Arabidopsis thaliana: one gene and its partners. The protein of the gene in region 3 interacts with the protein of the main gene of each other region in a pairwise test. Each region holds a gene or a part of one and is shown on either strand. Other genes may lie near its edges.

Region 1 (7,355 bases), on a different chromosome or scaffold from region 3:
TTATACTGATAGTGGTTAATAACTCAATACTCTCCTGTTGTCTTGTGCAGCACCACAATAAACTAATGATGGAAGCTAAAGCAAGAGGAGAAGGATACAAAATTGACAAGCTCAGACGAAATATAGAGATGGACGAGTATGATTTCTTACACTGGCGCCGATCTTTGGAGGAAAGAGAAGCATTGCTCAGAGATATCAGCTCGTAAGTAAAAAAAAGTTCACTTTGATGTTTTTCAAAGAAAGTGTTTAGATGAAGAAGATTTATTTTGCAGTCGGCAAGCACTTGGTTTACCATTGGAGGAACCAGGGAGGTACAAGCCAGGAAGCTTCTTTGGGAAAGACCAGTACGATCCAACAAGTGCATTATATCAGTATGACTACTGGGGAGAGCCAAAGAACTCAGAGATTAGCAAGCAAGAGAGAATGAAGGATGCACACAACAAATCCATTGTTGGGAAAGGCAATGTGTGGTATGACATGTCTTACGATGATGCGATTAAGCAGACAATAGAGAAAAGAAAAGAAGGGTCTACCTTGGCGAGTCAAGAAGAAGAAACAGAGTCAGAGGAAGAAGAAGAGGATGACGATGATTTTGACGATTTTGACTATAGCATTCTGAGTGATGAGAGCAGTATCGGTTACTCGGAACAGCAACCTCTTGTTAACGGTACTCAAGTCTTGACAGACTGATGTTTAAAAGGAAAGTAAAAATAAGAAATTGTCGAGGTTGATTTATTTGAATTTTTGTCTGTTAGGTTTGATCTATTTGATAGTTTTTTTTTTTCATTTCTTCTTATCCCGGAGATAGTAAAATCAGTTTCTTATTAACTTAGCCAGACGTTTGGGATCTTGTAGTACACCGTTGAACGTTAGGAACGTGACGTTTTTTGTTTTTTCTATCAATCGTCGTCAGAGAAGGTAGTCTTGACACCGCAAAATACGCCTAAATGTTTCTCTTGTTTCTTCTGTTTGGGCTCCAAAACATCAACTTCTATCAAAAGGCTTTCTCGTTCGTACCTGGAATATCAAAAACCCTTGTCATCTCTCCGTGTATACCAAAAACTTCACACCATGTGTGCTCTTTGATGACAAAACTCTTAAGGCAAACTCTTACCAAAGCTACTCTGCAAGGTTGTACCTAATTCACAAAAATAATAGCATTAAACTTGTACAATGACATCAAAACTCTAAAGCAATAAGTTAGAGAACCAAATCTCCATAACATGGAAAATCAGTTTACTTGGGTCGGAGAGGGTATGGAGCTATCTCAGCTACGGAGAAGATGAAAACAGAGACGGTTTATTAGCCTGGAAGAGTTCGTTGAGAGCAGCAAAAGAAGTTATAAATATAAACCTTGAAGAGGAAGAGAGCGAGAGAAAAGAGGTGCTCCGAGTTGTATATGCTCGTTAAGGGTTTTCGCTCTTCTTTGTGGGCCTTAAAAGGCTAATAAGCTTCGGCCCAATTTTATTATTCTGTTTAAATCGTCCGTTGACTTGTTTTATTTTATACAACCAAAAACAATCTTCATACATATTGTTTACGGTTTAAGGATGGTGTTTGCAACGTCTCAGTACTCCGCTTCTGATCAGTTAGGTCATTAACAATAGTAACGGAAGATTAAGTAATACTAAAAGATTCTAACAAACAATTTACAAAAGAAAAGTCTCCTTAAAATTCTTAACTAAATTATTATACAATTTATGTCCAATGTAGGTAGACTTGTATTGCTATTTAAAACTCTTAATTTATTTATGTTTTGATTAATTTGATTATATATAACGAAAAATAAATTCAAAAAGATTCTAAAAAACAATTTATAAAAGAAAAGTCCCCGGCTAAACACTATTCATTTGACCCTTAAAAACTCGATTATAGTATCATACAATGTCTTTGATTTTAGTCTTGTAGCGCTATTTCTTATCCGGAGATGGTAAAATCAGTTTCTCATTAACTTAACGATTTGGAATTTGGTACACACCGTTGATTTGAATGTTTTGAATCTGACGTCTTCTTCTTTTTTTGTCAAAAAATGGAACTGATGTTTAAGTTCCAAAAACACAGCTACACATAGTTAAACATTGGTCCATGTGGCATTTCTATTATGGCATAGATGATATATAGATGTCCCACGTATCATTAGATATCGCACTTTTACCGCAGGTAGACTGTAGTACATTCAAAGCTGTAGTACAACATTTATTCCTCACCCTCCTTTTTTGTTTTCTTTTGCTCCGACGTATCACGTTTATTGGGTCGTTTACTTTCTTATATTCCTTGTTTCCTCAAAACGTGAGTGCCGACAAAAGAAAAGAAAATATCAAAATCAAAATGTGATGAGTTCGACTGAAATATCTCTTCAAGTGAGTAACTAGCTCAAAGTAAGACCGGTTCGCTCACACTTTTTTGTAGCAATCAAGATGGTATGTTTCACATTTTTTGGACCATTTTGGAATTTGCATGTTTGGACGATCACTCGGACCGTAATTTCCAACCGTCCTTGCCGTGAAATCTCACAACATGCGTCCAATATAGGTGGGAACCGCACCGACGATACGCATTAAATACTTACAAAATTTTCCTTCATTAATTATTTTTAAGCAACAAGCTTGAAATTTAGCATCACAAATGCGTCAAGAACAAACAAAAGAAAGATGCATTTTTTACAAAAATTCTTAAATAAAAAACTATTTAAAAAACAACCAAAAACAAAGAAGGCATAAGAACAAAAACGACATAAATATATGTTAAACCATTAGAAATCTAATTAGTTCTGAATCCATATTTTATCATTGGAGGACATATCATGTGTAATGTTCGTGCCCATAGTGACTAAAGTTGATCTAACGGTGTCAAAGGCACAAAGCGGCCTTAACGTCGAGCCTCCAAGCAAAACCACCACCGACGTCCATTCTCCACACGTCGCAAGGCACCGTGACTGAGCCTCTCTCACGATTTTGACACGTGTACTGGAGTTTCATTCTGCATGTGAATCCAGGGGACGTTAGCATCGGCCTCTCCCTCATCACCAACCGTACGATCACGTGAAAACTATCGCCGCTAGTTATCTCCGGTGCACCTTCTTCCACGGGAATAATATCCCTAGCCATCTTCCGATACGCGTCATTAGTCCACGTGACTCTCCCTGAACCGTCGGATATGAAACCAGGACACGTGTCTCTCACAAGATTCATCTTCCTTTCTTCATCTGACCTCCCTAAACCGTAACCGTCAATCCAAGCGTCCGTTACACGCTCCACCGTCATACACGACGAAATCACCACCGTCCTCTGCACAATCTCCGGTGTCTGATAAGCCGGTGTGAGCATCCCTCCGCCGTCTTTGAAACTCAACCATAACGGACCCTGCCGCTTCTGCTTCTCCACCGCCGCCTTAAGATCTATAGGTTTCTCCGGTAATAGAGAAAGAGTCACCGCATTAGCACTGCCGTGAACGACGGGTTTATCCGACGTCTTCCGCCGGGTGCACCTCTTGGCGTTACCACCATTCTCCTTCAGCTGATGACATTTCCTCTTTCTTCTACTAGCTGATCTAAAGGAAACGTCGGAGCTTCCGCCGCCGCTATCTCCGCTGGATACGGGATTTACTCCGCCGGGGCTGGCCGGTTTAGGAGCAATGGGACGAAATCGAAGCATGATGCGATCTGCTTTGGAAAGATCGTACGGTCCAGAGCCAATGGCGTACCTAGCTATGCAACACCCTCCCCTACCGTCCATTTTTTCTCGCTATCTATATCACTCTTGATATTTTTGTGTAAAGAATGTTTGAGAATTAGGTAAAAGCTTTACTTGAGCTGAGGAATACACTGAACAGAAATGGTAAGGGTTTTATAACGTCTGTGATCTGGACACGTGTTGGAGTCTATACTAGTTGTGACATGGACACGTGTCTTTGCCTGCACGCTTGTGGTTGTGTTGGGTCTAGAAGACAGTAGTAAAGGGTTTGGGTTGCACATGGAAAGTTATTCTCTCTTTTTGTTTTTTTGCCTAAGTTATTCTCCCAACTCTAACCATTAATTTTACCGTTCAGTAAAAAGAACTGTAACTTTATATATTAGTGTAGGAGAAAAAAAAGTTTGGTCTATGCTATGACAGGAGTGATAGTTCTTGTTGCAAGAAGAAAACATAGTTCTTGTTGAAGATTATGTATTTTGGGTCGAGTTTTTTTTTTGGTTAACTTCACATAAATCTATGCATATAATCTTTTTGATTATTTTTACCACTAACCCTCAACTCATTGCTTCGTTTTGGGGCAACGTCAAAAAAATGTTAGGCAAAAAGATAAAAAGGTATAATTTGGTTAAAATTAGTGACAACATCCCTATACAATTGTGAACGAACTAATAAGATTCTTGGACTTTCGTATATTTCCCAACCACACTCTTAAAACTAATCCATATACTATAAATTTAAGAATAACACAGTTTTTTTATTTAAGTTTTTTTTTTGTTATTTGCCAATCAAGTACTAATACAACCATATATAGAGTGGATCACTGGTCAGTAATTAGTTCCAAAATTTGCAAATTAATCTCCACTTACGAAGCGATTTACTGATGTAACAATAGTGAAGAGATGGCAAAATCAAGTTAAAATATCTGACAACAAAAATGGTTTTTATACGCACGAGTCACACGACTCAAAAGGTGATGAGTCGATCGATTATAATTATAATCATTGACCAAGTCTAAATTTAAAGCGAATGGCATCTTAATTAAATTTAAAGTGATTGTGACAAATTAGATCTGAAAGGGGACAAGATGATCTCATGCGTAAATGAACTTAAAGATTTGGTGACAAAAATAAAGATTAGTGCCAATGGAGTTAGGTAATCGTTATTGAAATATCAAGAAGGAATATTGATTAATCAAATATACTCCTATTGTACCTATCTATAGTAAATGATTATAACAAGTATAATCATCTATATCTGGTTTATAGGTGTTTCCTTAATTTAGCTATTAATATTAGAGGAATTCTTATGGACAAAACTTGGATACATTCATAATACATATATAAATTTTACTTGAGCTTCTGCTTCGAGATCTTCTTTTGAGGATAGACATATTCAAACAATAACGGATTTGACAAATAACAGTTATAGTTTGACCAGTAAATGAGTTTAATGGCTATTAGCGACTTGATATATATGTTTTACGAGTTCGAATCTAATTTTTGCAAATGGGAACAAAGAAAAAATTTAGGCCAGTGGACCTATGCCAAACAAAGAGTTTGATTGTGTAACTTTGTTTTCTCAAGAGATGGTAATTAGTTTCAATCTTCTATATGCGTCAGATACATATTACTGTCCAAACCATTTTAAATTTCTGATGAGCTAAAAACATTCTCAAAAAGACATTATTCAATCTGTTTGAAGTCTATTTTTTTGGGTAGAATAATAAACATCTCATAAGAGTTCAAACCAAAATCTTAGTCTCCAAAGATTTTTTGTTATCCGTCGGCTTAGTTTCTAGGATTATCTTGTTAATCGCCAGCTTTAGCTTTGTAAAACTCTATCTATAATCTATCTTTCAGTGAAAAAAACGAAAAAAAGGAGTTCAAACCAAAATCATATGCACCAACAGTTTAGTCTAAAATAATTTGGATGTTAAGTAATATTTAGATAATACGATTGACTGTATTATAGAATAACGGAATTGTATTAAATAAATTTTATGTAGAATGAAAAATAAAAAATCATTAAAAAAAATTAATTTCTATATGTCATAAAAAAGGTTCATTTAATCCCTTGGTTTATGAATGATAAAATGAGTGAATATAAACCAGTCAGAATTTATAGTTTTGGTTCGTAATATTTGTTGTCGTTTCATAACTTAGGTTCAAATCTGAGAGTGAGTTAATAAACAAAATTCCCAAATCTTAAACTTAGACTAGAGTTCTAACCAAACAAATCTTGTAAAAAACTATTTAATCTTAGATTTGGGATAGTAGTGTTCGAAGGTGCGAGGGAATCTAGAAAGTATTACGAGTGGTCCGTGTTGTGAACTTTGCATGAGAACACGCAAAAGGACACGTTAAGACAATTCATTAGCTTATGTTTATAATAATCTTTTTTTTTTTTTTTGCTAAGAATATGTTTATAATAATCATCACATAAACTATTAGTAGTTAACTTTATTTGTTTATTTAATCAAATGAAATTAACCAAAACCAGTTATACTAAGCATAAAGTACTCATCACTTTTTTATATGTTTTAAGTACAGCACATTTATCGCTGGAAGTGTTTTCACTCTAGAACCACAATCTTTTTTTCGACTAAGACATCAGTAGTCAAATATTCAAATCTAATTTGGTATAAGTCATTATAATTATGATTATGTTAGCATGTTTTCTTATAAATATCAGGTTTTAGAGTTGGTAACTCCGTCCACACTTTGGTTTTCCAATTTTTCTTGAAGTTTTTGAAATCTTGTTAGTTTGTGAACTACAAAACTCGGAAAAACAAAATTAAATATCATTAGGTTTAATATGGTTAGCTAGAATGATCTTAATTGTTTTTTTCAGTGGAGTTTTGGAATCAACATTTGGAATTGTAGTTCAAAAAGATTTTAATATCTTTAAAAAATAAAATAATAATATCATTTCGTACGGTTTAATATGTGGAATTAACATTTCATTCAAATATGAGTCGTGGACCATATATATTTGCATTCACGATCAATAGTTGCATTGCTTCTGCTTTGAGATAAACAGCATGGACTGATCAAGATGACTTCTTATTGGAAATGGTATGTGTTTTCAACATCACTAGATTTGTTTTTGGGTATCCAATGTTTTCTTTTTTCCGTTTACAACTATTTTTTCAGTCTAGTTTAGCAAAAAAAACTATTTTTCAGTTTTCATGTTTATAATAATTTAATTAGTAAATTGTTTGGATCATATAGTGTTAGACTTAGAAGTTTAATTTTTTCTTTGTACGTCTTGATTTTTTGGACTGATTAGCCATTTCAAATATATAATATAATTACTATGTTTGGGAAGAAAAAGAAAAAAAGTGATTCATTGATTGGTGGGCAAGGCTTGGTAGTTACTTGTATAAAATATAGTAACAAAAATGTTCACCCTCTTTTAATATGCCGTCTGGAACACGTGGCACGTCTCATATAGGTTGCCACAATACCTAGTACCTACCTACGCAATTTGAATATTTGGTATGTTCATAAGATAAGTTTCACAAATCTTATCAGTTCAATTAATAAAATATGATTCGATTCTTATAATTAATATTGAGTTGATCTTCCGATGAAGACAGTTGTTCTGAGGGCCATCTAATATTATATTCGCACTTCAAGATTAACTTCAAGATAGTTCTAAAAT
Region 2 (7,922 bases), about 21 Mb from region 3:
ATCTTGGTACTTAGTTTGAAACAAATAGTGACACCTTGTTTGGCACTAAAATGGATATATCTAAAGAAACCATGGGTATCTGGTCTTTCGTTTCAGCTATCCCCACATCTAGTTGTATGATATTCTTACTCATCATTTCATTTCAGTGTAAAAGAGAAGGCTTTGTGCAAAAGGTAAAAGATGAAGAAGGTGAAGGTTGTAATGTTCACGGTTTCTTGGAAGTTAACAAAGTTGCTGGGAACTTTCATTTCATTCCTGGGCAAAGCTTTCATCAATCCGGTTTTCAATTTCATGATATGTTATTGTTCCAGCAAGGCAACTACAATGTAAGAAAAGTTTTATTTTTGTTTCATTCTCTCTTTATAAGCTCATATTTCAAATGGGTCTTGACTCTATTATATCATTACACAGATTAGCCACAAGGTCAACAGGTTGGCCTTTGGAGACTTTTTCCCCGGTGTAGTGAACCCTCTTGATGGGTAAAAACTCAATTATATAGCCATTACTCGCACCTGTTATCGCTTTTTCAATAATCCTATCTTCTGAAACATTCTCTTGGTTCTCTCAGTGTGCAGTGGAATCAGGGGAAACAGAGTGGCGTCTATCAATACTTCATCAAGGTTTGCTTCATTTGTACATTATATCTATAGACAATGCTCTCACCTGGGACAATAGTTTAGGTACAAAATTTTGAGATTCCTAAAAGGCTCATTATTAGCTCAGGTTACTGATAGAGAAGTACAAAGACATTAATACATTATGCTTGTTGACCAATGCAATAAGAATTTCTTTATCGGTAGCTTTTGCATGCTAGAAAGATTGTTGAGCGTAGGGATAAAGAATGGATTGTGGTGTTGAATTTCAGGTGGTACCAAGCATATACACCGATGTTCACCAGAATACAATACAGTCAAACCAGGTAAATCCCACATCCCCAAATCTCTATATAAAAATCTTTGTCATTTTCTTCTTGTAAAATCTAACCTATGAGTTTTTGTTTTTAACAGTTCTCTGTGACAGAACATTTCCAGAACATGGAAGCAGGTCGCATGCAATCTCCGCCTGGTGTTTTCTTCTACTATGATCTATCGCCAATTAAGGTCTGTTCGTTTTTTCTTTTTCTTTTTCCAAGTCGTGTTCTTAATACCAACGGAGACTATATCTCTAGAAACATTTTAACTTTTGATTGTTGGCTAGGTGATATTTGAGGAGCAACATGTGGAGTTCTTGCACTTCCTAACAAATGTTTGCGCTATAGTAGGAGGTAATCAATATATATATCCCTTCTCCATTCAATTTAAACATACCCTACTGATATGTTTATCATCAAATTCAAAACTAAAATTATACCTTTGATTTGCAGGTATCTTCACGGTATCGGGAATAGTAGATTCGTTCATATACCATGGACAACGAGCAATTAAGAAGAAAATGGAGATTGGTAAATTCAACTGAGTTGTTTGATATTCTCCACACTTTCTTGATCAGCTACTGGAGAATCATCTCTACGGGTTTTACAGTTAGACATTAGGTTTGAATTTGTGACAATGCGATGATTTAAAGAATTTTGTAGTACTGTAAGATATTCCAGGATCTGAACTTTGCCTTTCACTATTCACTATCTCTTCATAGGCAACATACAAAGTGTAAAATGTTGTTATCACCGATTGAAACGAATGTTAATTTTTCCTATTTAATTTGAGCTCATTTGTTTAAAGTGTAGTCTAAATCTGAAGATACCGATCTTGCTTTATGTTATTAAACTAAAGCCTTGTTTTTTTAAGTGTCTACGTTTGTTGATAATCAGAGAAAGTGGTTTCTTAGATTAGCTTAAAGCCATGGATTGAAATACACTAAAGTTGATTCAGGATGCTTCCTCATTTACAGTCTAAGCAACACTTCCAGAATTTAGTTATTACGAGAAGTGAGTTACATGTTTTGTAGATTTAGAAGGAGTTTTTGCAGTTTCATACCAATCAAGTTTTTATAGTTAAGGAATTTAGTTTCTTCTACTTTGATCGTTGTTCTTTTGTGCCAATTTAACTTGAACTAAGAAAATCAAGGAACTACAAAAATTACATAAGAAATCTCACACGGTCGAAGCATGCCAAAAAAAAACAGCTTGGACCGACGCAGAGATTAACACTAATTAACATCAAAGTAGATAAACTTATTTGATATTAACATAACAAACCCCCTTAATAATAATAAAATCTCTGCAATGACCAAAAACTCCATCGCAGAGAGCTCTAAAGTCCCTAAAATACCCCTATGGCAACATCTAATTTACAAGACTCGAACACTGAAGAATCGAATCCCAATCGATCTCGTACGACGGATACTTCTCCAACGCGTTCTCGTTCCACGGCGGCTGAATCTCCTCCTCCGTATCACCAAACGTCAGCTCCGACAACGGCGAAGAAGATCCACCAGATCCATAACTCTCCGTTAACAGCGGCGAAGATCCGGCGCTAGAGTAGTCCTCCTCCGGTAGTTTCACTGCGACGGTTGATGAACGTTTCCGAGAAGAAGACTTCTTCGTTGATCTCACCTGTTTCTGCGTCGTCTCAGCTAAGTTTTGACAAATAGCTTCAAGCTTAGCGTCGACTGATGATTGAAGAGGTTGATACTCGTCGTTATGACGGAGATCAGGGAAATTAAGCCGCGCAAAATCTCCTCGGAGCTTATACGCCGCCTTGTCATAAGCTAAAGCAGCTTCCTCCGCCGTGTCGAATGTTCCGAGCCAAAGTCGAGTTCGATTCCTCGGTAAACGAATCTCAGCCACCCATTTTCCCCAGTGACGTTGTCTCACTCCTCTGTATAGCTTCGTCGGTTTAGCCGCGGAAGTACCGGTTTGTTTCATTGAGACCGGTTTAGGACTAAGATGGTGAGAAAATGAGTGGAGATCCGACCCGTATGAAATTGGAGCGGGTAGAGAGAACGCAAACGCGGATGAATCGTTGGAAGGGCTTTTGATAAAAGGTAAAAGCGCTTCCATTAATTCACCACCGAATGGATCAGATTGTTGAAACGTTTTGTTACTGTAAAAATCCATAGAAGTTGTCATTTCTAATAAAAAGAAATTTTTTTCCCTTGTTCTTGTAAAAAAAGTAAAGAACAGGATTTTTTGTTTTCAAGAAAATCGAAAAAGAGGTTTATAAAATAAAAAACCTCTGTGTAGATTTCTGAGAGGAGGGAATTAAAAAAATACCCTCACAAACGATTAATTCTACAAAGAAAAAAAAACACAAGAAGATCAAAAATAAAAAAAGATTGATCTCTTTAAGAAAATACAAACCAAGAAATCAGTTTTCTTCTATACGAAAGACAGATTACTAACAGAAATGAATCAAAGTAGCGGGAAATAAACAGATCTAAGGGGGATGGATTTGTAAAGAATAAAAGTTAAGGAGAAAACCAGAAAGTATATCAACTTTTTTTTTTGGTTACACTCAAGTTTTTTTTTTTTTTTGTAAGTGAATAACTCTCAGCCTCACCGATACACTTATCTCATTAGCTTGGCTCTTGTTTATATAGGAGGCGTGGCGTGACTTCTTTTTTCCATCCTCCTCATATTTCTCAAATTTATATGTTTAATTAATTTTTTCTTTTGTTATTTTATGTACTATTTCAGATAAGATCATCCATGTTTACGTACTCCAAATAATATATATTCAATTTCAATCAAACATTGTTTGTAAGTTGAGTTTTAACAAGTTTTGTTTTAGAATGGTTAATTTTTACAAGTTAAAATGTTTCTACAAGTTTATTCTATAATCGAAGCGTTTTAATTTTACAATCATAGTTTGATGGAGAATCATTTCATTATATTACATTCACACCGGCTTTATGGGACGTTTCTTCCATAACCATATTAATCTTTTTTCTATTCAAATAGAAGTGAGTGGACGTACACAACTCCATAAATTTTAAAAGATTAGTTAAAAAAATGGTTGTCTACTCATTTAGCTAGACGTCTTTCTAAGCGGTTGAAACTAATGTACACGAGCACTTCGATTCCAGCCAAATTGATAAAATTGAAATCAACATATTTTTACGATTTATTTGGTAGAGGCGTCCAACAATTGGTCCACTAGTCCAGCTAGTAGATTTAGAATTCTTTTGTATATATGCGAAAACAAAACTTCTGAAAATTTTCAATAAAATGGAACTGAGAGAATATTAAGAATGAGATTATCCAAATTAATAGTATATATTGAAGTATATCAAACCGAAAAAGTATAAAAATAATTATTCGGAGGTTCCGAATGTGACACACGTAGACTTCATGATTGTTAAGCAATAATTTTGGCTCGCAATGTAATGATGATATCATGTTAATGAGTGGTTTAGACTTTTATTTAGATAATAAATCATACAAGATTAAAAAAGAAGGGTCTAGAGGGTTAGAATGAATGGCTGAGAACTCCTCAAATGTCAATTCCGTATTATATCATCCATTTAATTAGTTTATTAAACATTTCATCATCTTACGATATCTTATAGAGTTGCATCACTTAATTTATTGCTTCGTGTAATCGTGTACAAATGTCACTACAATCAATACGGCGTCAATTTGCAAGGTTAGACTATGGTGTCATCATTTTATAATGATCAATATTTTGAGGGAAGACGCGCATAAGGAGGTACCACCCATGTGGATGGCTCGTGTCCGTGTTACCAGTTCATCTTTACGATGCTGATTTATCTCGTTTACATGTATTATCATATGCATGTATATTTCGTACTTGCTTGCTTTGGTGAACATTGCATATGTGTAATAACTTGTCTAAGCGTTATTTTTCTTATACTTTGTTATGTATTTTTGATAAAAGTCAACTTTCAGTATTGATATCTACATTTAATGCAAAAACTGAATAAGAAAAAGACCAATTAGCTAGACCATAAATTAACCACTCATATAGCTACAAACCTATAAAACTATGGTTAAACAAATTGTAAAGAAAGAAAAAAAACTCTACGCATGAGAAAAGGGAAAAGCAAGAAAAACTCCAACGCATGATTTCATAACCGTAAGCCGAGCGTGTCCACAGGGGAAATGAAATAGTCAACTACAAAATCATTACTCAAGTCTTAGCTGTATGTAATAACTGACAGCTTTTTGCTGCCTATTTTTCTCCTTTTGAATTTTTCTTTTTATTCAAAATCATATATATATGAAAATTGGCCTACACTCTCCATATAAATGATACATCATCACACAAAAAAATGACATGTGTCATTCTATATTAATTAAATAAAAAAACTAGCAAAACTAATTGAGAAAAAATTAAAAGTCTTTTGTTGTGTTAATCTCACTCTTAAATGAATTTTCTAAAAAACATTCGATAAATAAAAAGTCATAATAATGTACCAAGCACTACTTTCATTTTATTCTACTTATTTTATTAAAAACATTTAATCAATAATCATTAATCTATAATGGCTAAAAATTTACTTGTGTTGTAGTTTAGATGTTTGCTACCTAACCTCATATTAATTTAGTAATTTTAGTTAAATATTTTATTATTATTATATTTTGTGAATTTGATTTATCATATGAACTTCTTTCGGTACATTTTGTGTGTTAAGATAATTTTGTAACATTGATATATAATTTTTTCACGTAATAGTCATCCTAGACATTAGACATACCAAAAAAACAACAACATGTGACTTTATATGATTATATGGTAGGGATAAGAATTAAAATGTTGACTTAAATTACTAGCATATCAGGATGTGATTGTGTACTAGATAACGAGATAATATATGGAATAAAGAATTGTTTGTTACAATTAAGTTAGACAAGTTTTAAAATACATAAGTAATATAACTACTTATATCAGTATATCATTTACTGTTATAGTATGTGATCATGATAGTGAAATATTAGAATAATAAATATATAAATATTCATATTGTAGTTGAATTGATATTTTGAGTTATAGATGAATCTAATCATAAAAAATAATAATTATATTAAATGGATGAATTTATCAAAATGAACATCTTTTTTTTTTGTCAAACAATCAAAATGAACATCAAAATCAACAAAAAACCATAATCATATTTTTCCGACAATTTTAAAAACAAAAATCGATGCGTAGCATGGGTGTTCATCTAGTTTATTTAAACAATAATACTTTATTAGTGTACTCTCAAGTTCTCTGACATTTTTTTTTTATTGGGGGCAAATGAAATGACTGACATTTTTGCATTGTTGTTCCTTAACTTGTCTATAAAAGTAGTTGTTTGATAGCTAGATTCACTGCATCTAAATCAAGTAATATAATAGTACATACATGTCATTTTTAGGATTTTTGAGAAATATTTGTAAATCGTAAAGAAAAAAGGTAGATCCGATTTGTGACTAATTTGGTCGAAAAGAAAAGAAAAGAAAAGAAGGTGGATCTGATTGGATTTTTGCTTTTGGTATGAACTTTTGCAATTTAATGCTCATAACGCGGTTTCCGTCAAACGCGTCCGTTTTATCTGTCGAAGTCAAACAACCGTTGCGAATCTGCCACGTGTTCACCCTCAAAGGTCCATTTTGTACTGTTTATCTGACTAGCTCACCTTAAAAGGCTTATTAAACTCCACGTGTCTTTTTGACCTCTTGACTTTGAATGATCTTACTAGTTTACAATTGTATTTTCTCACCTAATTTAATTAACACTAATACGTAAAATGAGAAATATACTCACCTAATTTTAATTTATATTAATGCATAAGATGAGAAATATAGTAGTAGTAGAACAAGTTGGTAAAATACAAATGCATGTGAAAATGCGTGTATTGGGTGAAGTGAAAGTAGAGAAAAATAGATTTGCTAATTTATTTTTCCTTTGGTGATATCGAAAGGAGGGTGTCGTTGTTTTTCGATCAGTTGCACGTTGTTCTACGAGGGAAAGAGGAATTGCATGTGGATTTTAGGTGAATTGTCTCCGTTAATTTTTGCATGACATATGGCCATTGCAGACTATTTATTATACAAAGCTTATGTGATTATGTCGTATGTTTTTGTACAAGATGGTAAGAAAAAAAGCTTCTCAAGGATGTATTTTGTTCTCATTAATGGACTTTTTACGTTGTATTACAAAAAAAACACCAATAAACAGAAACGATAAATCATACTCCATAGTATAGGACTCCTTCCGTAAACGTGCTTAAAATATACAAATTGTTATTTTCGTATTATTAAATATATTTTCTAAATTCGAAAATTTGAGAAAAAAATATATAGTTGTGTATCCATCTAAATACATGTCATTTGCTAATGCATTTCCTTGATATGTTGAGCTTTTGGCATAAAAAGACTTTTGCCATTGTTGCTAAACACTTGTTGCTTTCCTTTACTTTTGTGCAATCACGTAAGTCCTGACCATCTACCTATATTTTTAACCGATTAAATTTAGGTTAATCTTATCATTTATCCTTAAAATATAGAGTAAATTTGGAAAAATACCCTCTTTTTGTTTACACTTTGAAAAATACTTTTTCCTTCATTTTTACTTTTAAATATGTAAAATCAAACTTAATAACGACTAATAATATCTCTATTTCAAATATCAAATCAATTTATTTGTAATAATTAAATATTTCATTTTTACAAAATCTTAATATAACTAATAATTCCAAAAGATTATTATCTTAAATACTATTTTAAAACAATAATGAATAACAACATTCTACCAATGTTAAGTTATGATTTTTATAAAGTCATGTGTTATTGTTGTGGTGCAGATTTTGATGATTCATTATTATTGAAAACTTATAATATAGTTTACTTTTCAAAATCATTCAACGAAAATTATTGAATAGAAGAAAAGTTTGGTGATATGTTGAGCTGAAAAATATGCTTGGAATGTTGGAGATTATTTTATTTTATATGATATAACAAATATTAAGTGATAGACTTT
Region 3 (8,153 bases):
GTATATGTTTACTCCTTTCCTCAGAGAATTTTAGGTGAATTACAAAATTTAGGGCTCCGTTTTTTTTTGTTTTGTCTTTGGTACTGAAGGTACCAGCGACTCGTATTTCGTCATAAGTTATATCAGCTTAGGGAAGAAAGAGACATGAAGCCTGAAACTTTCGCTAGTCTTGTATCGGCTATTCTTTATGAGAAAAGGTTGGTGAAATGTCTTCTTCTCTCAATTTGTTATTAGTTTCTAGTTTCCTCTTAACAATCTGATTTCTTATGATTAATGTGGCATTGCCACTACTAAGTACCAAATTCTTTATTTCAGATTTGGCCCATTCTTGTGCCAACCTGTGATTGCTGGATTGGGAGATGATAACAAACCCTTCATTTGCACTATGGATTCTATTGGAGCCAAGTATGCTCGCTTTCTTCATTACTTAAGACGTTATATCTCATTTTTCGTCTGTAATGCCATTTAATTTACTTAGTCAGTGACTGTAATCGTGAAACTTGCTAGGTCAGCTAGAAAATGATCGTGGATTGATATTTTGGTTTTAGTTGGAATCTAATTTTGGTCTTTTGTCATCCAATGCAGTGTATGCATGTCATATGAGTGAACTTATTTTACATGTGTTGAGCTGATTTAAATATGATTCTTAATATAGTTGAGATTTTACCGAACATGATAGTTGCAATGGTGAGCATGCCTTGACGCTTGTTCTCTCTAAATGCAGGGAGTTAGCTAAAGATTTTGTTGTCTCGGGAACTGCTTCAGAATCTCTATATGGTGCCTGTGAAGCCATGTTCAAACCAGATATGGTATGTGCCTTCTGAAAACTTGTTTTTGTACCGATTCACTGGATACTCAAATGTGTGTTTATCACCTGAAAATTTGGTAGGATCATTCATATGTAAGTATTCTATTGTAGAATCTTGATCTGGTAGGAATATTTGTGTGCATAGTGCTGGTGATATATGACGTAACTCCAATAATTTTCTCTGTATATTTTAATTTGGCTTAGGATTAAGATGTTTCAATATTGCGATTACTTCCCTGCCATAGTACTGCTTCGATAAAGTTTGAATTTCAAGGTCATCATTCTAAGAAGTGCATTGTAAACAGACTCGTGATGAAATGAAAAGCATATAACTAGACTTAACAAATTTGAGTTTCAGGAAGCTGAGGAACTATTCGAGACAATTTCACAAGCACTTCTCTCTTCAGTTGACCGCGATTGTCTTAGTGGGTGGGGAGGACATGTCTACGTTGTGTAAGTTTTGTTCTCCTCATCTTCTTCTTCTTCTTCTTCTTCTTTTTTTCTGTCACATCTGGCTTCTTACAGAATATACCTCATGTGCACTTATCTTCTAAGGATATGTATTATATAAGATAGTAACATTCTTTCATGGTCATGTTGTCCAGAACACCAAAGGAGGTGAAGGAGAGAATCCTGAAGGGAAGGATGGATTGATCTGATATCACATATCTGCTTTTGTCCAAGTTCGGTATACTCCTTAACCCGGTTATGTAGAAGCTCTCGTCCCATAGTAACTATGTTCCTTCTCTGAAACTGGATATTGTGGTTCGTTCTCTCGGATGTTTTATTTGCTATTGATAGAGTTCAATGAAAATGAAGAAATAGCAGTTGTTATCTTGTTCCAGTACTCGATCATTCTATGTACCTTGTTGTTTCTGTTTTAATTTCGTACCAAGTGTTCCAGATTTCTGGTTTGTCGCAGTCTTTAGTTTTCAAGGTTGGTACTGATCAGTGACACGTTTTGTTGTTTGTCTTCTTAGTGTTCATGTTCGATTCACTATGGGTGACTTTAGAAAGACGTTAACATGTCAACGAAATATTTTGGTCAACTATCAATAAACATGGTTTGGCTAACGAAATCATACAATAACTATGAAATCAATGTAATTTGGAAGGTGATCACTAGTAACTGCAAATAGAAACGAATCAAACTATTATGATGATGATCCTGATGCTGCCATCTGACATTGTGAATGATTTTGCATGTCCTGTTCTGTTTGTGGCGTTAGATCGAGCCAGAGAGGCAAAATCCATACGCATAAGCGTTTTGATGATTTCATATAAAACGTGGCATGTGCAATAGATGTGGTCGTTACACGAATATAAACCCAATCCTGCCGACCTAACTAATCTCGGTGGGTATTCATATACTACCTGTGTGGGCAAAGCATATAAAGGTTCTACTTGGGCAATCATTATCGATGCTCGTAAATTCATGCGTCTAATCATTTTGATTATGAACCATCCACATCATGTCACGTGTCTAAACTCTTCGGTCACTTTTGAGCTTTTTATCAAATTCAACCCGCCACAATAAAAAGCGGCAGAACTAACATTCCGGCTCCACGTGGCATAGATCGAAGCGTTTATCTATTAGGTGGCACAGGCGGCTCGAGATGACGTTCTTGTGGACTCCATTAGAGAAAATGACAGAATTAAGTGGGCATTAGCATAAGTTGATAACTATGAGGTGCTTTTTAAAAAGAAAACTAACAGCTGCGATTCTGTTTTTTTTTGCCGTTAGTGTACGCTAAATCATAGACCTCTTCGTGGTTATAAAGAAAGAAACTTAATTTGTCTCGAATTTGAGTTTGGATGCGACGTTTTACGTACTAGTTTTATAAAAGTAAATGTTATAGACCTTGAATTTCAAAGTGGAATGTATTTTACACACACAATTGATACACCAACAATTGTGGAAGCAAGGATATAGAGTATCGATCTTTAATGGAGAAGAATATATCCTTAAAGTAATCATTACTTTTTAATTACGGCGGAAAGAGAATAGTTAAATTTACGGCGAAAAGAATGTTCATTAATCAATTGATGACGTTCGTTTATAATTTCAAATAAGATCGAAAATAACAGGTGAACAAAGAAAAAATAGACATTAAAAATAGTAAGATCGAAAATACAACCCTTAAAAATCTCACGAAATCAATGAGAGAAACAATTTTGAGATACGGTCAACGTTTGGTCTCCTTTAGGAAAGTACACGCATAAGATCGAACGTGTCGATTCTTATTGCTCGTTCCCAAAATCGACATGCTCTCGGACCGCTACATTCCAAATAGTCTGACGTAAGCAATGACAAAACTCACCTACATTACAGTCTGCCACGTGTCCCTCTCCATCTACTTCAAATGAATCCTCCACTATACAGATTTAACCATTTTTCTATTTTTGTTTGAGATTCCTTTCCACCAACACAAAGCCCCTGTCTATCCGCCATGTGTCCACGACCTTTCTTATATATATAGTCATCTTTCTTCTTTGCTCGAGAGAAGTTTCAACTTTCAAACATATCTTTACAGTTCTTTCTTGCTAAACAACAATAAAGGGGAAAATAGGTTAATTATGATGAAATCTGGGGCTGATTTGCAATTTCCACCAGGATTTAGATTTCATCCTACGGATGAGGAGCTAGTCCTCATGTATCTCTGTCGTAAATGCGCGTCGCAGCCGATCCCTGCTCCGATTATCACCGAACTCGATTTGTACCGATATGATCCTTGGGACCTTCCCGGTACGTTTCTTTCTTTTCCCCTTTAAATCACACTATACACTAACAGTAACAGGATTCTATAAAATCGGTCTAAGAATTAATAAACCGGTTTACAATTTACAGACATGGCTTTGTACGGTGAAAAGGAGTGGTATTTTTTCTCACCAAGAGATCGAAAGTATCCAAACGGTTCAAGACCCAACCGTGCAGCTGGTACTGGATATTGGAAAGCTACCGGAGCTGATAAACCAATAGGTCGTCCTAAACCGGTTGGTATTAAGAAGGCTCTAGTGTTTTACTCGGGAAAACCTCCAAATGGAGAGAAAACCAATTGGATTATGCACGAATACCGGCTCGCTGACGTTGACCGGTCGGTTCGTAAGAAAAACAGTCTAAGAGTGAGTGAATTTATCAGTTCAAACCGAACTTTGAATATGATTTTGAATCGGTTTAGTTAACCGGACGTGTTTTTGATATTCTTGAACAGTTGGACGATTGGGTATTGTGTCGTATATATAACAAGAAAGGTGTCATCGAGAAGCGACGAAGCGATATCGAGGACGGGTTAAAGCCTGTGACTGACACGTGTCCACCGGAATCTGTGGCGAGATTGATCTCCGGCTCGGAGCAAGCGGTGTCACCGGAATTCACGTGTAGCAACGGTCGGTTGAGTAATGCCCTTGATTTTCCGTTTAATTACGTAGATGCCATCGCCGATAACGAGATTGTGTCACGGCTATTGGGCGGGAATCAGATGTGGTCGACGACGCTTGATCCACTTGTGGTTAGGCAGGGAACTTTCTGAGTTGTCACGTGCGATTAGAGTTAGTGGAAAGTGGAAACTATCACTGTCTGTTTTCGCACGTGTCGGGTAGCCGTCTTGAAACCCGCTAGCTGATCCAGAAGTGACCTCATTGGGCTTTTCAACAACAATTGGGCCTTAGCCTTTCTTCTCCCTTAGTAAGACAAGCTACTGTATTGTGTTGTTATTTTCAGGAAGCAATATAAATTCATTTTAATCACTTATATATTCTTTACATTTTTTTTTCACTCAAAACTACAATCTAGCTTCTTCTTTTTTTTTTTTTTTTTTTGTTATGGTTGTACTACAATCTAGCTTTGTTATATATATATATAAGTTAAAAATAGTAACTAAATTACAAACTAAAATAAAATAAAGAAATTGGAAGATATCACTAGTGTTTGGGGTATTAGGGAGGGAGGGGAGCTCGAGATCCGATTTTACTGACTGCATGGTATCGAAAAAGTGTCGGTAATGGTAGGGTCTGACAGATAACAGTCTTATCGTTGCAACTTGCATTCAAACAAATCTCATTGTTCGCTTTAATTTCTAATTAATTTGTTTTTGTCTTTTGTATATTTATTTGATTTTGACACGAGTTTGTCTTTCCTAATAAGACCGAGGCATGATTAGTTTAACCGGTTTGAATTGTTTAGGTTAAATCGGAGTCCAAGTCAAATACATCGCTATCTAACGAAAACGACGACTGAAATTTCGTAAAGTTCCTTACTATAAAACTGATCTAACTATCTTCTACAAGAACAATATAATAAATTTGATGCATTATGAATTCACAAGTTTTAAATCTTTATGATTTTGTAGCTCATGAAATTGAATGATGTTTCTTTTATTATCACATGTCATTAAATAAAAATAGTTATGAGTAGATGACATAAATACTATTTCAAATAAATTTATCCTCCATCTAATTGTTATGAGATGATTATTTCCTATAACATGGTATCTACTATATGGCCGTCTAAATTAAGTATCAACGTTTAAACTGCGCAATGCTCAAGTTTTCATAAGATGTGATTTGTTAGAGGTTAATTAAGAAACTTGCGAGTGTATATGTGGTCTCTAATCTATATTTTAATCTATAAAAAGGGAAGTGAAAATCAAGATTAAAAGCTTGGATGTCATAGTATAAAAGAATAGTAAAGTAAGGGGACCAGACATATTTGTTGCGAACTGGAAAAAAATGAAGACAGTCAATCTCACTGGGGAAGTGTGGGGTTTGAAGTCCATGTTAGGTCTGTTTGTTGTTGCTCTTACAACCTTCACTTTCAATTTACAACCAAATCTTCTTTACACTTTATACTAATTTATTATTCATGTTTCCAATAGCATTAAAACAGTTTTAAAATCTATCCAACTCTTTTTTTCCCCTACTAAATCAGGAAATTCAAATCATATGGACAATATACTCCATCAAACAGTGTAAATCTGTTATCCACAATGCATAATGTTGTGTTTAATTAACTCGCATTCGTCACAACCAAATTAGTGATTTCTCTCTAATTAACCAATGTATGTAGATGTGAATAATACTTATGTAATAGTCCAGTTTTCAACAAACATATCATAGTTTAACGAAATTGGACAGATTCGAGATCACAACTCGGTTAAGATAAAACTGTGAATAGAATATTTTTCTGCCTAGGTTATAACTTAAAACTATAATATTTTTGGGAGCATGTATTATGTGACTTGTGCGAGAATTCTGTGTATATATGGTTGACAAGATGGATGCTATTTTTGTAAATAGCTAGATGGCTACATACATATTCACTCATGTTTTATAACGTAGAGAATAATTAGTCCACCGCTCTATGCCCCATTTGGAATAAGGTTAATTGTTACAACATATATTTTGGTTAAATGGTTCCGAGTTAATAGACCAAATCATATAGTAGTAGTTTGGAAACAAGACATGGTCAAAACGCAAGATAATACATAGACACATAATTTCAGTTTAAAAGTTCTTAAAACTTTAAAGAACAAAACTTAGATGTAGTTTTAAATGTTAATTTACCTGGTTTTGGCATAACACAACCTAGGAGTTAGGAATGTTCCAACTTCCAATACTTTTACATTTATCAAAACATGCGTTAAATAGAGGGAAAAAATGAATCTTGAGGAACGTTTTATTTCTTCCTAATTTGTTGGCTAAAAAATGAATAAGATAAGCTCAACCAAATGGAGACCCAAACAAAGTTGACATTGAAAAAGTCTAAAATTTCAATGTTTATAAAATCTAACAATAATCCTATTCTTTAGATTGGACAACTTTATGCTAAGATAAGAGTAATTCAGAATTCTAACTAAATCACACTCACTCCATTATTATGGCCGCCGTGGAAAATTCAACAACCAAATCTTCAATCATATAAATACTTTTTCAACTGACTTAAAAGTAAAAAAAAAAAAAATCAAATGTGGAGAAATAATAAATCGATATTAGGACACTCAAATGTACTAGTTAACAAGCTTATGATGACAGAAAATTGGATAATTATGGGAAAATAAGATTGGATGATTAAGGGCTGGGAAAAACAAATTGATGATTAAGGAAAGTAAAAAAGTAAAAAAAAAACGAACGAAAACTGAAAAAAAGTAAAAAAAGGGACTGATCTCTTCTCTTTCTCTCGTACGTTCTTCTTCCTCATTCGAGAGAGTTAATTTCACCATTTCTGATTTCGACAACGACAAACGAGCAAAAGGTGATTTTCCTGTGAGCTTCCTCTTCTTTTAAAATCGCAATGCTCCTACTATTTCTATACTATTATTGTTGTTCTCCAATTGATCCAACGAAACTACGAAATCCATTCTTTGTTTTATTTTTTTAGCCCTAGGATTCTGTGATCCAATCTCTGTTTTCTTCTTCGCTGATTCTGGAAGGTTCTTTTGCTTCTTTGAATTTCTAGAAGCGGAACTTTGAAGGTTAAGTGTTACTTTGACCGGACAGATGGATTCTGACTCGGAACTTTATATCCCGGCGCCGTTTGGAGATTTTACGGTGATGCGGATTTTGAGTTAGAAGCGACGCGGAGAGATTTCATAGGTTTCTTCTGCACCACATTCCACGAGGTGTGTAATTTTCTTCTTTATTTTAAATCTGTTGGGTTTTTGAATTCTAACATTGCAATGTTGATTTAATTTACCGTTGTAATTTGAGTATGAAGAAATTCGACATAGTTGTGGTAAGAAAGAATTGAATTTAAAAGATGAAATCTTTGAGTTTTTATAACAAAAAACTGTGAGGTTTCTTTTTTTTTTGGCCATTCAGAGTAGTAGTTTCACTTCGTCCAGTGTAAGTGCAAAGATAGTTTGAATGTTTGGTAAGTTTGAATATTGGTTTCTTCTATTCTAGGAAACCAGAGGCTGAAGCTAAAAGCGATGTTGAAGGCCTTTCTTCCTGGAACGCAGGAGGAGGAAACATTATCTTCTTTGCAGTCTGGGTAGGCACTTTCTATTTATGAATAGTATTTCAACATTATCCTTTCTGTTGTCCTGAGAAATAACAATGGAAGTCGTTGCCTCAAATGTGCAGGAAAGTCGATGCAAAAATGGAAATGGACGACCCAGAGAAGGCAATGGCTACAGTTGCTCAGCTCATAGAGCAACTTCATGCGAAAACATCTTCACCGCAAGATAAAGAACTCACAACAGCTCGTCTACTAGGTATTGCAAAAGGCAAAAGGGAGGCAAGAAGGCTCATCGGTTCGTATGGCCAAGCAATGCCTTTATTTATTTCCATGCTTAGAAATGGGACGACTTTGGCCAAAGTAAATGTCGCTTCAATCCTTTGTGTATTG
Region 4 (9,491 bases), on a different chromosome or scaffold from region 3:
GCTTATATAGAATGCTATGGCTTATTTGAATTTTTTCATCTTGCATAGAGCGGGAAACTTGGTTGTACCAAATTTGTCTTCAGAGGTGAGTGACGTGACATCGTCCTCTGGACCGGTTAAGCTGGCAGACCTGCAAAGAATTCTGAACAACCTCTCTGGTGGCCCTGTAGGTACAATTCTCTATCTCTAGGTTCTCCTATCAATAGGATTTTTTGGTTTCCCTCTTATACTTATTTAGGTACGGTTGTAATGTTTAGGTATTGCTGGAGATCAAGACGAAGGTAAATAATTTCAATGTTTTAAATTATTTGTATATGATATGGTGCGAAGACATTATATATTTATCCTAAAGTCTGCATTGGTTGGAAATGGCAGTGCCCAGCTTTTTTCTGTGATCAATAATATGTTCTCAACTGTTAATTGTTCTTTCTCTCTACTATTGTTCATTACTGACCTCATCGTCCACTCTTGTTATATCGTTCAAAGGTTTAGCATTAGGGGATATCTTGAAACCGGAGTTGATAATGCCATTGCTTGAGGCGTTGCCGGTACAAGAACGACTATCTTCGCATTTACCTGAGGTATGTCTTGGTCTTCAATGTTTCTGTATTCTATGAATATGAACATTACATGCAATTCTCTCCATTTTAGTTCTGTCTTCTGAAAATGTCTGTTATGGACCAGAGGTTTTAAGCAAAAACTTCCCTTTAACCTGGCTCTGATACCAAATTGATATGATGCGAAACCTTAGCCTTAGCTCTTGTTAAAGGACCCGTTGCTAAAGCTTAAAGAACAAGAGATTGAAAGCTAAGCTGAGGCTAATCACATTGGTCATGTACCAGACTAACCCAAAGGCTAATCTAATCAATCACAGGGTCATTCTAGGGCAGAAGATATACTGGAGTTGTTGCAGAGCCCTCCTTTTCGTCAACAAGTAGATGCATTTACCTATGTAAGCCCATCTGTGACAATGCTGTTTCCATTCTTGGGTCGATATTCTAACTCAACATCTCTCTCTTTAGGTACTCCGCACAGGACAAATAGATTTGACTCAGTTTGGTATAGACCCAAGTAAATGTGAGTGATTCTTACGATGTTGTTTCCATTCTTGTTGTTTCTTTTTCTCTTATGCAGTTTTAACTTTTGCAGACAAGTTCACAGTGGACTCATTCCTTGAAGCACTTGAAGACTCGGTTTCAACGCAATCAAGGGATGCGATGGATGAGAGTTAATCTTTTCATATTCTCATGATTTTGTTCGAACTTTGATATTGAACTGAGAAAAACATCTTCGTTGTTTGGTGGATCATTTATGGAGTTTTCATGAAAGTGTAAGGATCATCATGGGATTTTCCTTTTCTGCCACAAAGGTTTCTAAGCATTTATATCAATTTTACGATTTAATTAGACTAGGACATGCGGAATCACGATTTCAATAGGAAAAAGAAAACCCTAACCATAGAGAAAAACTTTTCATAATTTTCATATGCTTTGTTTTTTTCTTCATAATTTTCATATCCGTGTAACATAAAGTCAATGTCAATATTCACTTACAAGTTCACAACCATACGAAGGTTATCACTGATCAGTTATCACCAAATTATTTCTCAAATGTTCCACCACAAATATTGCAACGCCTAGGTCATTTTCTAGTAAAGCGTAATCAAAGAAAATGATGTCTTTCTATTTAATAAACATGTTGCGATGCTTGTTAAGTCTCATGATTTTTCCATTTACCAGTACTATCAATGCAAATTTGTTTGCAAACAAACGAACAAGGCTAAACCAAAAAGAAAACAAGGATAGGAAAAAGAGGCAAAAATTAAAGATGGATTTGTAAGATTTCAATAAATACAGATTTCAATAAATATCGTAGTTTTTCTTTTTGTAAAATATCATTTTTTCTTTTAATCTTGTAGAACAAAAATAATTTTGGAATACAATGTATAATCATTTTGACTCTTTATGTGTCTTCTCACCATATTTTTTTGTATGTTTGGGTTGTACTTGGTTTACGCGTTTGCGAATATATTCTATTTGCTTTCTAGTTCTAGTAAAATCGAAATCTGGATGTAGTTCGGGAGGGTAAGAAAAACTGAATTTTGTTAACAAATTTTTTGTCTCATTTATTTTCTACACTTTATCATTGTTTCATCCACATTTACAAAGAAAACTATCTGTTGTATTATAGTTATATGACAAAAATAAATTTTGTTCAAATTATTATTTGATAAATCAAAAATGTTAACATAACAAGTATGTTACTGGGAAAAAATCACGTTTCTCGACTAAATTGAATGGTAGAAATAAAATCATTCAAAATAATAAAATTTACTATCATTCATTGGGATCATAAATAGCTTTGCTGTTTTCATAAATACCATTTCATTGCTATGAAATACAATGTTTTCCACTTTATAAACTTGTTGCGATGCCTATTCTAGTGATTTTCTGATTTTTTTCTCATTTGCAATGTTGTGAGCAAAAAAGCGAACAAGGCTAAACCGAAAAGAAAACAAGGAAAGATTAAAGATGGATTTGTAAAACTTAAGGGAAACTTCCTCTAGTGCACATTCTCTTGTTTAAGACATCACTCAGGTTTACATCATTTTCAAGGTTTCCTCAAATAATTTGGCGACGAGTTTAAATATATAAAAAATGATGTGAAAATTGAAAAATAGGAAATCGCCCCCTAAGTGCGGTGGTGGAAGGAGGGGAGAATGTGGGGTTGCAAGAAGCCATAAATGTGATGATACATCGATTTCATGATAACTCCTTGTAACACATCACATGAGCTATTCAACTTCGCTCGACTCCAAACCAATCTTCAATTAATCTTCAGGTTTTTCATAATAATAAAGTTAAAAATATTTGATTGTTTCCTTCTTAATAAAGAACCAGCCTCAAAAAAAAAAAAAAAAAAAATTAGTTAGTGCACCTGAATAATTTGGGATCTTAATTCTTTTTCACTGGAATAATTGATGAATTAATTTAGTTTTTTATAACTTTAATGAATCTCTCTCTATATGTCTTATAGTTCAAGTTATTGATTTTATGGTAAGACAACAATTAAGAGAATAGATCAATATTTCAATTATATATGTCAACATATGAATGGATTATGTTTTTTTAACACTCTATTTGAATGTTGAAAAGGCGATCAAGGGAAATTAGGTTACTACTGTGATGTATGTCAAGGTTGTAGTAGAAATTAGACAGACAATAGTAACAAGTAAAAACTAGCTACAGTAAAACCTCTATAAATTAATAATGTTAGGACTACGAAATTTTATTAATTTGGAGAGGTATTAATTTATCGATAAATTAATAAATATTAATTTATAGAGAGATTTTCCTAATTTGGTAACTTTTAAAAAAATTCTATAAGATTTTTTTCATTATAGAAAATATTTTCCTAGAACCAGTTACAAGTAAAATATAATAATAATGTCTAGAAAACAATACCAAAAAATTTGATCCAATAAAATATGAAAACTATAGTCAAACAAAGAACAAATATGAATTTAAGCAAAAATATATTATAAATATATTTTAAAGAATTTTTTTACTTATAATATATATATATATATAGTTGATATATTTATACAATTATTAATTTATGATATTGATAGGAACATATATTTACATAGAATTTTCAAAACAATTATTATCTTATTAATTTATCGATTTGTGTCACTTTTTACACTGGTCCCAACTCAGGACCGGAAAATTTTATTAATTTACAGAGGTTATTAATTTATAGAGTATTAATTTATAGAGGTTACACTGTATATGTGTAGTTAGAAGCTTTTTAGTCATCACATGATTTAAATTTATTTCTAAGATGAAATAGACAATCTTTAATTTATATATATAAATATTATTTGGGTTACTCGTATAAAGGTCTACCACTTTTCAGATGTTTAGAACTCTCTCTTCCTTTCTCTATCTAACAAACCCTAATGTCCATCCAATCAGTTATCCAAACTAAAAGAAGTGGACTCTAACAAACCCTAATGTCTAATCAGCTGTCCAAAATAGCATTTGGCTCATCCCTAACTAAACCTGAAATATATCAAAAAGTTAATTACCAATGAAAGCATATAAAAAACATTTGGCCACTTGCTTTCATGCTGGTCCCAGCTTTTGCACCCTTCCGTAGCCACACTACTCTTCTCCTTTTTTTTTCCTCTTTCCCCATTTCTATGAAATAGTTGTCTAGATTTTACGAGTCTGCACATCCTCATATATTTTTTTATTGATTTGGTGATCCAATTTTTAATATGAAAGAATGAAAAAAATATTGGGGTCTTTTTAAAAATGTAAGTCTTAAAAAAAAAAATATTAGAGAGAACCATATATCATATGAAAATGTTGATTTCAGTTTATCAATTAGGATGATAAAACTATTTAGTGTATTATTAAATGGTACCTTCGAAAATTTACATAATTTTTTCTTAATTTGTGTGAATTTTGTTTATAATTAATGATACTCTTAGGAAAAGTGAAAGAGAGTGAGTAGCTTTTTATTTATTTCTGATTTGCATTTATATTCAAGATTTAGAAATGAATAATACAGGTAAAATTTTCATCTATTGCTAACCATAAATGCCAAGTTTTAAACAATCAACCTTTTTATAATTCAGCAGTACTAGTCTACTAAACAATCATACATTCGACAAAAGAAAAAATTCAACCCTAAATTTGATTGAAGTATCCCACGAATAATGTCGAAGAGGAAATGTTCTCATCTACCTTTTTTGTTGCTGTTGTTGTCATCAACGTTCTCATATACCAATCTTTCTTTATACCATCGATATTATAGTATCTCAATTTAGTGTTCTTGGAAGGAAGGCCGACATACAATATTCTCGCGCATACAAATATTCTTCCATTACTACATACAACATCTTGCATATAGCCGACTCCCCCTGGATTGGTTGTATAACATTATGATTCAAAATATTGTTTAGGCAATCATCACTTTTAAAAAGAATTATATATCGAACTTAAATTTTGTAAATTGCTTTAACATAAATATATATATATATATATATATATATTTTTTTTTTTTCTTAGTAATTTTATTTTCACCATAATAGATATAAACGATGTATAGTAAATCATTGACGAAAATATTTTTTCTACAATTTTTTATCTATTCCATAACATTTAGTTTCGTCTCTTTTAAATAAAATATATCGTTTTTTATTGCCGTTAACTAATGTTATAACAAAACTGGTACATTACTACATTTTTAAAAAAATTACTTAACTACTATGTCCATCTCAGTATTTCGATAAGAATTTTTTTTTTTCTTATGGTACGCAACCCCATGAGTGAAGGGACCCTACTCGTTAAAAGACATAGAACATATAGCCTACATGGAAATTCCCAAATCCTTCACATTGCATATAATAATTTTGCCCCTTTAACTCTCATCCTCTCCTTAGGCTTATGTATTATCTTCCCATTTATTCAATTACCTTTATGATCACTTGGAATAGTTGTTGAAGTACAATACCCGTTTTTAAGGCAAGTGTCTGTTCGGGTTGATATATATATATATAGAGAGAGAGAGAGAGACTATATCTTTTCACCTATATAATTGCTCTCTTCTTCTATCTAAATCTTCAACACAAACATCTTGTTTGGTCCTATTTCTCAGATCGATCATGGCTAACTCTGTGATGGCAACCGAACAGCTCTGCTACATCCCTTGCAACTTTTGCAACATAATTCTTGCGGTATAATTGCTATACATATATATCTATTATATCTGCTGTTATATTATATATAATGGATCTATGCTTCTCCAAATATCGTATATATAAAGATATAATCAAGCATAGATCTACCTTTAATTTCCTTTGTACTATATATTGGTTTCTGATAAAGAGTGGTGAAGCTCTTTTCATCAGTTCCACTATCTTACAAATGTTCAAAGTTCTTATTCATTTAAATCTGTTTTAATTTATTTTTGTCAGTGACAAATATTTCATTTAGCTTATGGTGCCAGAGAGAAGTCACCATCCTTCTGCTATACATGACTTTTTTCAGCATCATATAGATTTATTTTCTGCTCTTTTCCTACTTTCCTCAAAGGAAAATCCTATTACGAGCATTTTACTTACCATTTTAAGTTATGACTCATAAGATAACCTATTTTAAAATGGCCATGCATATATTTGTGTTCCTTTTCTTTTTTTTTTTGTCAAAAATATGTGTGTTCCTATTCACTAATCTATAACAAATTGCGCATATTGAAAATGGAGTCACTTCCGGATCTTAAATGGTGGCTACAGCAAAACTTCAAAAGAGAAGATAATCATCTCTCAAGCAACTACTTTTGTTTAATGTCATAAGATTAGATTGCATTATTTCTATTTTGCCTTCTAAACCCATAAAGAACTTAACATGTTACCCAAAAAAAAAAAAAAACCCATAAATGATAGGAATATCTGATCTATATTAACAAGACAAGCAACAACTTTTTCTCCCTTGTCTAATGATAATTATCTTATAACAAATTTTAGTAGCATAAATTTTAGTATAAGCTTTTCGTCGATCTATGTCTTATGGATCATCTAGTAAACAGATCCAATTTTCCAAGAAAGAAGATCAATTAATTAATATTTGAGGTTGTGTTTGGCTAAAACGTGTAGGTGAATGTCCCATGCAGCAGCCTGTTCGACATCGTGACCGTCCGATGCGGTCACTGCACCAATCTGTGGTCTGTAAACATGGCAGCTGCTCTTCAGTCGCTTTCACGCCCTAATTTCCAGGTAACATCTCTCTCCTCAATTGTGAAGGGTTTATTGTAAATTTAAAAAAAAAAAAAAAAAAACTTGAACCAACCCTCTGAAATTTAGGGCTCTTTTGTTTGTTTTGAAAAACGAATGATAGACAGAAATCTGAGCCTCTAGTTGCATGTTTCTGTCTCCAGCCGCCGTCTACATCTACATAGCCCCAAAGAATTTAATATTACTTAAATATTTTACTCTTTTCAAGTCATGTTTAAGTTTATTTTTCCAGCTGTTACTGATATCTGCAGCCTTTTCGTAATTGCTTTTTCTTCATAGAGCCCTAGCTTTTGTTTGATCTATTACTGCTGTCGGTTACTTACTCTATGATTTGATTGACATGAATGTTAGGGTTTCTGGTTTCATAGGTTTGTTTTGTTTTCTATAAAATATATATATCAGATTCCTTTCTTTAAAGGTTTTGTCTTTTAGACTTTAACTACTCTTAAATATGAATGAAATATCTTTTAGTTGGTCCACTTTCTTTTTTCTCTTTTCATTTCCGAAACTAGACAATACATACATGATTGCTACTCAATCCTATTGATTCACCATTTTTGGTCTGAAAAATCAAAGAAAAGGCCAAGTGATTAAATACTCTAAACTTCTTAGCATTTATACTTTTATCAGGCAACAAACTATGCAGTACCAGAGTATGGATCCTCCTCAAGAAGCCACACAAAAATCCCTTCAAGAATTTCAACTCGTACCATAACTGAGCAACGGATTGTAAACCGTCGTAAGTATTGCTTACTATATAAACCTAAAGAAGTAAACATGAAAAGTAATTTGTGTACTGTATATGCTAAAATTATTATATTGTCTTTCAGCTCCGGAGAAGCGGCAGCGAGTACCTTCTGCGTACAATCAATTCATAAAGTAACAAAAACATTTTAGACATACATATATCTATATATCTATATAATGTTCAAATCTGTTAAGAAAGAGGTTATTGATTTGTGTGTTTATATTAAAACCTTTGAAGAGAGGAAATTCAGAGGATTAAGGCGAATAATCCAGACATAAGCCACAGAGAAGCATTCAGCACTGCTGCCAAGAATGTAAGTTTTTATTTCTTTTATATGTTCAAACAGTTTTATAAAGTACTATAAGCTTTTTTTAGCCAAAAGAAATATCTTAAGTTTTAGTAACCAATAAAGAATTATTGCGGCCTCCTTATTTAATTATAGTACATATGTCATAGTAGATGTTTTTTTTATTATTATTATTTTTTATTTTTTTATAGTTTTTTACAAATTCGACTTGGAGACCTTATGATTTGGAAGATACTCCATTTAATTTTATGAGTTGTGTTTGAAAACATATTTTAAGACTAAACACGTAGAGAACATTCTTAACAAATTTGTAAATAAATAAATTTAACTCTATTCTCTAGGATTTAAATATTATAGGTATATATATAATTTTCTAATAAGTTTATATCGAGTCACTCATACGAGTTGTGTAGAAAGTTAATCACGGGTACCAATTTTAAATTAAAAATAAGAATAATTATATGATCTTAAATTTATACAACTCTGATAAAAGATTGGGCTTTGACATCTTTGAAGAAAACTAGATTTAGTAATATTCTGATTAAATTGGGTTCACACTTTGTAGTGGGCACACTTTCCTCATATTCACTTTGGTCTAATGCTGGAGAGTAACAAGCAAGCTAAGATAGCCTAATAATGTAAGTGCTCTGTTCTATTCATCAATTGTTTTAGAGATTCACCTTAGTTATAAATTTTATTTTTATTGTAAACTAACATAAATTTTACTTTTATCTGTCTTGTTTTAGTCTCGAGATTAATGGTAATATAAGTGTTGGAGACTTCGAAGTAACAAGAGCTGAGAAGGCAACTATATGTATTGTATGATCTTTGGAACCGTATGTATGTAAGTGAAGATGTCTATCTTTAAAACCATCTATAGTTATAATTTAGTAAAAGCTTCTTTTAATTTATTTCTATGGCCCTTGTTGTATGGTTCGTCTCACAAGATTTATGAGTTCTTTCGGATATATGAATCTAAAATAAAAAATATGTAATCTATATTATGGTAAACCTATCTTATACTTGAATTATAAATAGTAAATATTACAATAAGTATTTTTTTTCTTTAACGATGTAGCAAATTCTCTATGAGTTAGTGGTTTTGTATCTTGTAACACGGAAACATTATTTTAGCTTTCGGGATACGGTTGTGGTTCTAATTCTTATACTGAATCATACACACGAGATCTAATTACGATGTAGCAAATTCCCTATGAGTTAGTGGTTTTGTATCTTGTAACACGGAAATATTATTTTAGCTTTCGGGATACGGTTGTGGTTCTAATTCTTATTCTGAATCATATACACGAGATCTAATTATATTTGACTCCAAAATACTGACCAAGCTTCTTTTTGATTTTCAAAGCTTTGATGGTGTATAAGAAGTCCTTATAAATTTTTTCTTTCGGATCTTCTAACAGGGAAACAATACTTTAGTACTTTAGATTTGAGATTCGGTTTTAGTTCTAATTCTTATACTTACTTATACACATGAGTTCACTCTCGAATAAATGACTCTCATTTATCCTAATTTGTTAGTTATAACAATTTTCATTGATTGATTTAATTGATAAATAATATTTTTGGTGTTTTTCCTATTTATCATTTTGATGCATTTATCTAACTCTTGAGTA

Evidence for each region.
Region 1: the proteins of NAC032 (region 3) and AT3G48510 interact in a two-hybrid assay, tested with the Arabidopsis thaliana proteins (one large-scale study listed by BioGRID).
Region 2: the proteins of NAC032 (region 3) and AT1G22190 interact in a two-hybrid assay, tested with the Arabidopsis thaliana proteins (one large-scale study listed by BioGRID).
Region 4: the proteins of NAC032 (region 3) and YAB5 interact in a two-hybrid assay, tested with the Arabidopsis thaliana proteins (one large-scale study listed by BioGRID).

What each region holds. Positions count from the first base shown.
Region 1 is NC_003074.8:17,964,719-17,972,073, forward strand, and holds AT3G48510 (AtIII18x5-like protein), read right to left. Parts: upstream 3,873-7,355; 5' UTR 3,735-3,872; coding exon 2,850-3,734; 3' UTR 2,636-2,849; downstream 1-2,635. Other genes in the region: PDE312 (Nucleic acid-binding, OB-fold-like protein), read left to right, coding at 51-202, 273-690.
Region 2 is NC_003070.9:7,831,390-7,839,311, reverse strand, and holds AT1G22190 (Integrase-type DNA-binding superfamily protein), read right to left. Parts: upstream 3,532-7,922; 5' UTR 3,068-3,531; coding exon 2,282-3,067; 3' UTR 1,901-2,281; downstream 1-1,900. Other genes in the region: AT1G22200 (Endoplasmic reticulum vesicle transporter protein), read left to right, coding at 147-326, 412-479, 569-620, 866-919, 1,008-1,100, 1,198-1,264, 1,364-1,455.
Region 3 is NC_003070.9:29,096,644-29,104,796, forward strand, and holds NAC032 (NAC domain containing protein 32), read left to right. Parts: upstream 1-3,195; 5' UTR 3,196-3,385; coding exon 3,386-3,554; intron 3,555-3,656; coding exon 3,657-3,931; intron 3,932-4,020; coding exon 4,021-4,338; 3' UTR 4,339-5,116; downstream 5,117-8,153. Other genes in the region: PBC2 (20S proteasome beta subunit C2), read left to right, coding at 90-197, 316-405, 725-809, 1,167-1,261, 1,414-1,462; AT1G77460 (CELLULOSE SYNTHASE INTERACTIVE 3), read left to right, coding at 7,735-7,796, 7,889-8,153. UniProt on the Arabidopsis thaliana protein: Transcriptional activator that positively regulates age-dependent senescence, dark-induced leaf senescence and stress-induced senescence.
Region 4 is NC_003071.7:11,302,923-11,312,413, reverse strand, and holds YAB5 (plant-specific transcription factor YABBY family protein), read left to right. Parts: upstream 1-5,403; 5' UTR 5,404-5,674; coding exon 5,675-5,746; intron 5,747-6,664; coding exon 6,665-6,784; intron 6,785-7,432; coding exon 7,433-7,541; intron 7,542-7,632; coding exon 7,633-7,681; intron 7,682-7,787; coding exon 7,788-7,863; intron 7,864-8,422; coding exon 8,423-8,491; 3' UTR 8,492-8,495; intron 8,496-8,603; 3' UTR 8,604-8,959; downstream 8,960-9,491. Other genes in the region: RPN13 (regulatory particle non-ATPase 13), read left to right, coding at 49-170, 258-281, 487-581, 875-952, 1,023-1,077, 1,150-1,232. UniProt on the Arabidopsis thaliana protein: Promotes adaxial cell identity. Regulates the initiation of embryonic shoot apical meristem (SAM) development.